2 linked regions of the Oreochromis niloticus genome follow. The protein of the gene in region 2 purifies or fractionates together with the protein of the main gene of each other region. This does not show direct contact. Links are inferred from orthologs where the notes say so. Each region holds a gene or a part of one and is shown on either strand. Other genes may lie near its edges. The genes, in order: plekhg5b and rnd3a.

Region 1 (3,921 bases), on a different chromosome or scaffold from region 2:
CATTACTTTTAAAGGGAAAATATTTGGCAGTCCAGTTAAGTATAAAAATTTTAATTTTTGTTTTAATGGGACATGTGAGCTTTTTTTTTTTTTGTTCCCGTGGTGGGTTTGGCAGAGTTGGTGAGGTTCTTGATCTGGTTAAAACTTGGAACACCAACCACAAAAGTATCGAGGACACCTGCCAAAAGGCAAAGCCATGCACAAATCCTGTTTTCGTTGCTGTATTTTTCCTCACAAAAAAATCTGTGCCTCACTCTTTATGTGATGTTCATCTTCTGCCTGCAACAACAACAACAATGTAGAGACAGTGTTGTTCACATTCAATGTAAACATGCATGCAATTACAGATTCTTTAGACTGTTTGATTACATTGATTTTCACAGTAGCTAGCATGAATACTTGATGTCTGCTTAGTTTTGGTACAGTAGAACCCATTTAATAGTCTTCATCATGTCACTCGATATCTGTATTGATATTAATAGAAAATATTCACTGCTGCAATCAGCAGACTTTTTAAAAGTTTCTCTATCATATATTTAACTAGTGATTCCATAGAAGCAGTGTTTATGTCCAGGTGACCACTAAAATTAAGGATCACTGCCCTGGTGCCCCACCTCACCACCACTGTTACTGCATTAGAGTACAGTGATGCGAGTACAGTTAATCCTGCAACGCCCACTGCCATTGGAAGAGAGCATAGATAGAACCAGTGAGCAAAATGTGATGTAATACTTTACAGAAGTGCTGTGTTAATGTACTTGTAGCTACATTAAGAAATTCTCTATTACTTTCCGCTTCTATTCCACAACATTCTTATTGGAAATAATGTACTTTGTAGTCCACATCATGTATTTTAAAGCTTTGGTACTACTGATGCTGGCTTAATACAAATAAAGCTACATTTAAGTATATAAGTAAATAAAATAGTTTCCAGTTGCAAAATTAATTCGATATACACATTAAATCAATAGTGATGCAACGTACATGTGCTCCAAAAAAAATTACTTTTACCTCAGTTACTTTGGCTTATTTGAGTAGATTTTAATGCTAAACTATTACTGTGGCTTTTATTTAATAGGCTACTTGTTTTATCGTTTTGTAAAACGGTTTTTAATACATAAAGTTGTCTGAGGTCTTGTGCACCACCTTTTTTTTTTTAATAATACCATCTGTGTAAGGACACAAGGCTGCGTATGAGTCAGAAAACCTTGCCCAGTGTTGTCTACACCGACTTCATTTCCTTTGCCCCACCACCCAGTGGTGCTTTGTTTTAGGCGCACCCCTATAAAAAAAACTGGAAACGCCTCTGACAAAAACAGAAAGTTTTACAGGCACAACATTAACTGGAGGGCCCACTATAGAAAGGTGTAGCCTTTGTTGGGTTGGGATGTCCCAGGCATTTTCGTTCTCCTTTCTCCTCACCTGCCGTTTTCAAGGTGGAGCACACACCTGATGCTGTTTTGTGTTCACTGTTTACATGTGACAAGTTTACTGAAAACGTGAATGAACCTCTGTTCTGTGCTGCTGTTGTCTGCATGTGTATCTCTGGCGCCTCCAGCAGCAGCGTTGCGCCACTTGAGAGCGAGAAACTGCACTGAGTCTTTGTGGATCCAGGTTCCATGAATGAATGGACGAGAACCGGTGTCTGAACGGAGAAGGCGGCCGGAGGAGACTGCGGACAATCCAACTTCACCCGAGCGTTGTGTAAAGTTTCGTTAAGAAGGAAATCCATCCACTGAGCTGCAGCTTTAAAGGCCAGGGGAAGATTTTTCCTCGTAATCCCACTCCTGCACCGATCGAGCTTCACCAACAGACGTTGCTCGATGGACGCTGGGAGGATTTTTTTTTTTTCTTTCACGCGTCCAGACAGCAACAAGTCATTTAGAGCACAGTCCAACCTGCAGCTGTGCTTCACTAGTCGTTAGACCAGCGTTAACTTTTGTTCGTGTGCACCGAGGGATGCTTTTTGCCACTCTTTTCCGCGCATTCGCCGTGATATGAACAGCATTGTGCTCGCCGCCGAGCAGATCCTCCAGTGTGAGCACACTGCCTTTTAGAGGTCGACCGTGGGAATGAGAGGAAAATGAAAATGTGCTAATTAAACATTTTTCTGGCTGATCAGCGCTGAGCCTTCCACACCGACAGACGGACCTGCGAGGAGCTGGAGTTGGTGCGGGAGAGGATTTCGAGAAGGATTGTATGTTTAGATGGTGCCAAACAAGTGGACCATGAATTCAGTTCTGCACAAATCGCCACCAAGGAGCTGGCTTGGTCTCAGATTACGCCTGAGTAAGTAAAAATTCATGAAGTCAGCTACTGACTGATCACCATCTTAATATTCGAGCGGCTGCTCAGTCTGCAGCTGGGTAATGTTGGATAAGTCATCACCTCAGAGTGATCAGCATGCTTATTTGTGTGATTCACTGTGAGTTTGTCTTCAAAAAGTCACAAAGGAAGGGGAAGAGAGGATCTCTCATGGCTTTGATCCTCAGGCAGCAGTTCTTTGTGTCATGCTTTCCTCCAGTCATCAAAGTTAATGGCTGGATTTGGCAAGTGACCTGAGCAATTATCCCAGCTGGAGGCAGGAATATTTTAGTCAGACAGGACAGTACACTCTGATCTGAAGTTATGCACCTGATAAAGGATCTTGGGACAACTCGGTATAGGCCTACACTCAGATGATTGATATTACCTCTTGTAAATCTCCAGACAGTACAATTTACTGCAGTTTTTTTTCATGCACTCCTCCACTCTTTCCTCCTCATAATTTAGATGTGTAACGACCTTTCTAGCAGTATGAGTTTATCTAACTGTTTCTCACACTCAGGTAATCTGCAAATTAGTTTCTCGTTGAGCTTTTATTGATGGAAACCTAATAAAATGAATACTTGACTCTTCTAGCTTTGAAGACTTATCAGACTGATGTCCTTGGAATTTAGCTCTCTCTCTCGCTCTCCCTCTCCTTTATAGACTTTACATGTTCATGTACACTGTTTGCAGTTCATGGGTTCATGCAGTAAGTGAAGTATGCACGGAGTTAAAGTTTAGCAGCCTTAATTGGTTGAGTCTGGAACCCTTCAGTGTTCCAGGCCACCGGAGTCTTAAGTCTGTCTTAAACACACTGGTCTAATCTGGGGCCAGATGTCTAGTCTGGTCTCTGTCGTCCACAACAAAACAAAAACTGAAGAAATATCTCTGCTGTGTGCACTTATTCACTGCTGGGATGTCCCGAAAGATGTCAACTGTGGGAAGGACATATTAGTTTAATGCTTCGTAGTATTGCAGCCATCATGTGCTGTTCATACAAAGCTTGACTGTAAATGTAGAAGTGTGGTCTTCGCATGTCTTTATTTTCAGTCGATTGAGCCTAATTTGTTTGATTCATGTCAGACTACTATCGGTATCAGCCATATCGGTGATGTTCACTGATGTCAGAGGTCAGAGGCTGAAATTTAACTCTTCCCCCCATAAGGGCGACATCTGACGACCTCGCCTGTACCCTTAATGACGAGGTTTGACATCTGAGTATATTTAAATGAAATGTCATATGATGGCCATAAGAACAGTTTACATGTTTTTCCAAGAGTAGCTGCATGGGCAGAGACCACCCTCGCTAACTTCTGGTGCAAACTCAAGTTATTTGGTCTGTAAGCAGACCTGAAATATGACAAAACCTGCTCAGTTCAGCTTCAAAGGTTACTCCAAGTAGACTTCCAAGGGGTAAAGACTTAAGACCTGTGTCCACGAACAGCATAGGCTGTTCAAGTTGGTTAGACTTTAGTCTGTGGTAGCCACATGGATGGATAACACATTGTGGTGGTGTTGTATTATGAGTTACTCTTTGATTCCGACCCCTATTAATCATCAAGTCTATTTAATATTTGAAATTAGTGGAAAAATGCCAGTAAATGTTTTCTTGTT
Region 2 (3,921 bases):
TAAACCACTTCCCCTGTTGGTGAAAGAAGCATCAAAGGCTCGCGCCTTGGCCCCGGCGGACCTCACCCTGAGACTGGGGTGGCAATGCTAGAGCAGACAAGTAGGTTGGGGAGAGGGGGGCAAATGGAAGGCTGTATAACTGGCAGGAATTTACCTTAATGGGCCGAATTACTCCCTTCACCGTCCCATTTAAACACAAACACATATAAACAGCAGGCTGCTCATTAGGCCACTCATCACTGCAGAACAAAGACCACCTCGGTGTGTGTGTGGAGGTGTGTGTTTGAGAGGGAGGGGAAGAGCGGGTGGCAGTCCACAATGTTTGTCTTCCTCCCTTCGTGTTGGTCTTTGTCAGAGTGCAGGCCTGGGTCTCACACACACACACACACACACACACACACACACACACACACACCTCAGGAGATAAGGGATCAATTGGATTGGCTGTGGCAGATGGGGGTTTCAAAAGAAAAAAGGAGAAAAAAAAAAAGGGACCAGTCAAGCTGAAAGCTGCATCAATTGGTCACTGTGTGTGTGTTTGTGTGCTGGGTGTGGGTTTGGAGTGAAGGTAGGGGGTGGGTTGGTATAGGGGTATCTGGCACCTTCTAAAATCCAATGATCTAATAGGAAACCACCCCCCAACACTCCTTTTATGAAACAGAGAGAAAGAAAAATGGCTCCAGGCAAGCAGCCAACACAATTCAATAAAAGAAAATTCTCACTCGGGCCAGTTTTCATTTCTTCGCCTTTCCACATTTACACACAAAACTGGAGAGATGAAGGAATTTTCAATTTGATGTCCTTGTTTCACTTTCTTGTAGAGTTACTGAGGCGGCAAAGGAGCGCCACTCTGCAGATGCTTTTACTTTCATTTGCTCTGAAGTATAAAACTGCTCAGAAATCTGGCTTTTAAGAAGCTGCTGTTGGATTTTCCAGTCTGATGTTTTGCGTGTTTCCAAAGGAAGAAAGAAAGATCTCAAACTGACCTCGATCTTCAAGTTACCCAAACGTCACTCAGGAATTCCAGGCCAGGGATTTTCCTCTCATTCCCACACACACACACACACAAACACCACATGCTCACACACATGAAACATACACCTCACTGCTGTGCTATTCAGTGCTCAGGCAATGATCGATGGGAAAATGGGTTTGTTTACTCACTCACTCACTCACTCACACACACACACACACACACACACACACACACACACACACACACACACACACGATGCTGGTTTTCAGACCCCAAACACAAAGTCTAACCCGCAGGAGATTAAAAAGAAAAAAAGCTGCTGAGCCAATGTTGCTCAACCTTCCCAAAAAGCACAGGAAGCAGGATGAATTTCAAAGTGTGTTCACCAGATGTATGAATATGAGCTCCGTTCGGCCTATCATTATGTTTCCTTTCCTGTTTCCACTTGAGCTTTGCTCAGCTGGGAGGAATTCATAAATCAGATCCATTCCACTGAGGCGTTTCTGCGCTCGAACTGAGCTACGAGGCTGAACGTCTCCATGTAGGTAAAAGGTAAGCCCCGATCTAATCTGAGGGGAAACGTGCGGTTTCGAGGAACAGCGACTCCAGACTATGGGAAAGGATTAACTGTGCTACATCGATTAAAATGGGTCACAGATTAATTTCATTATTTGAGAAAAAAAGCTGCCCTGGGACTCTCCTGTCTCTGATTTGGACATTCTGGGCTAAAACCTGTTATTTATTTATGATGTAGTCAAACATGGGTGTATTCTACCCCACAAAGTTAATAATAAACTAGCTCCATATCATTCAAATCAGCAACTGGAGAGTGACTGATCACCGAGGTGCGTGTCAGAACATGTCCACACCACCGCCACAACTGGCACAAGGTGACACTTGGAGCATGAGTCAGACAGAGAGGTTGTTGGAGGTGAGGATTACCTGAGGTGTCCCACAAACTGAGCTCGATCCTCTGCGTGTCGATCTCAAAGCTGGCTGTGTAGTTTTCAAACACAGTGGGGACGTAGCTCTGCGGGAAACATTTAGAAGAGGGGAGGTCAGGGAGGAAAGCTGCCAGGTTTTAAACTTTGAAGAAACTGAGCAACGTTAGATTTATTACCCTATTAACACGATCGTATACTACAAAGGTGTTGGTACTACTACGTTTGGATTTCAGCCAAAACTCATCCCAACACGTATCAAGCACTACAACATGAATGTCCTTCATCACTACTGGAACAATCCACGTGACACAGCCAGGTTCAGAAGAACAATGAGATGTGCTGGTCGTGGTATCTGTGTGTGTTATTAACATGCATCGTGGCTGCAGGGTCTCACCTCAGGGAAGCAGTCTTTGGCGAACACGTGAAGCAGCGCAGTCTTCCCGCACTGGCTGTCCCCCACCACCACTATCTTACACTTCACACTCTGACTGGGATCCATGCTGGATTTCAGAGATAACTTCTGACACGGGCGTCTCTCCTTCATTGATTTGAGTCGGGATCAAAGAGTTTAAAAATGAGTCCAATCCTGTGTGTGCGTGTGTGTGAACCGTCGAGAAGCAGCTGGTCTCGGTGCCTCCAAGCCTGCGCGCCTGCTCTCCTCCCCCGGTGTCTCCGCCTGCTCTGAGCCGGTAAATTCCATTTGCCTACATTTATAACGTCGCAGGAGCCAATGGCAGCGGCTCTCCTTCCGTCGGGATGAGGCACGTCCCTCCCTTCGTCCAGCGAGCCTCCACACAGACGCACGCCGGGGCAGGCACCGTGATGGCGCCCCCGTTTGGACTACACACAGACCTCAGCTTCAACATCAAAACAATAAAACACAAACTAAGATTTTTTTAATCAGTAAAGTAAATCAGATTATAGTTTCCCTTTGCCAATTTTTAGAGTGAAATAGTTGTGAAGCACTGAAAAAAAGAATTTTGCGCAAAACTTAGACTTACAAGAAGAGCAGCACCAGCACAAGGCAATTCAAACTATTTATGTTGCCTTTCCTTTAGATAACATGATTTTATAAAATAGTGATAAAAATAAAGACTGGCCTGTCTTGAAACTATGAAATAGGAAATCTGCAACATAACAGCATAAAACTGTATTAAAGTTTTAAAATTGATGGAATACAGCAGATACATGCAAACAGTTTATTTGCTATTTATTTGCCAATATACCAAATACAAGTCAACAAGGCCCGTGCTGATATTTACCCAGCACATCAATGCATCTATAAAATATAGATAGTTATTATTTTTATAGCCACAGTTCAGCCCTTAAGTCCTTCTGCTGAGTTGTGACTATGTAGTAAAGCAAGTAAATGTAGCCCAAATCAAGAAATGATCAGTCCTTGTAGGGCAGTCATGAAGATAGGTGTGCTTAGAGTTATCACTCAGTTATCTGTGTAACTAAACATGGGCAAGCAAAAGCAAAATAACCTTGCTGCTGCTGTAACTAGGTGGAATTAACCCTTTATCATCCAAGTCTCATACAGGCTTTTTGTCCCCAGCACAAATGGTAATGGAGTTACTGTCATGAACATAGGCCCCGCCCCTGGAGTTAAGGAACACGTCACAGTCAGTCTATGATACACACACTGTCTGTTTACTTTCTTTAGCATGACTGACTAAAAGGCAAAGGGTAATAAAGATTTATGATTCCATAATTGTCTAATATGACACAGTGACTATTCTAACAGACAAAATATAATGTGCAATTATAGCCCAGCATTGCTGTTTTACTTTAGTTTTCTTAAAACACCCTGTTGCTATAGCGTTTGCTACAAGATCAGTGAGGAGGAAACCACATAAAAAAGGTTTAAAGGTACAGAGCAGGGGTGTCAAGCTCGTTTTACATCGTGGGCCACATACGTCCCACTTTGGCCTTAAGTGGGACGTACCAGTGACACTCGTCTTTCAGTGTAAAGAAGCTTAACCACGCGCTGAACCCCTC

Evidence for each region.
Region 1: the proteins of rnd3a (region 2) and plekhg5b purify together in Homo sapiens (affinity purification with western blotting; 3 studies listed by BioGRID and IntAct, with this or other methods). This does not show direct contact. The link is inferred for Oreochromis niloticus from reciprocal best matches to the Homo sapiens genes RND3 and PLEKHG5.

Annotation. Positions count from the first base shown.
Region 1 is NC_031984.2:7,999,172-8,003,092, reverse strand, and holds the start of plekhg5b (pleckstrin homology domain-containing family G member 5), read left to right. Parts: upstream 1-1,333; 5' UTR 1,334-2,037; exon of another isoform or gene 2,038-2,122; 5' UTR 2,123-2,207; coding exon 2,208-2,289; intron 2,290-3,921. UniProt on the Homo sapiens protein: Functions as a guanine exchange factor (GEF) for RAB26 and thus regulates autophagy of synaptic vesicles in axon terminal of motoneurons. Involved in the control of neuronal cell differentiation.
Region 2 is NC_031986.2:6,636,040-6,639,960, forward strand, and holds the start of rnd3a (rho family GTPase 3a), read right to left. Parts: upstream 2,699-3,921; 5' UTR 2,465-2,698; coding exon 2,315-2,464; intron 2,007-2,314; coding exon 1,919-2,006; intron 1-1,918. UniProt on the Homo sapiens protein: Binds GTP but lacks intrinsic GTPase activity and is resistant to Rho-specific GTPase-activating proteins.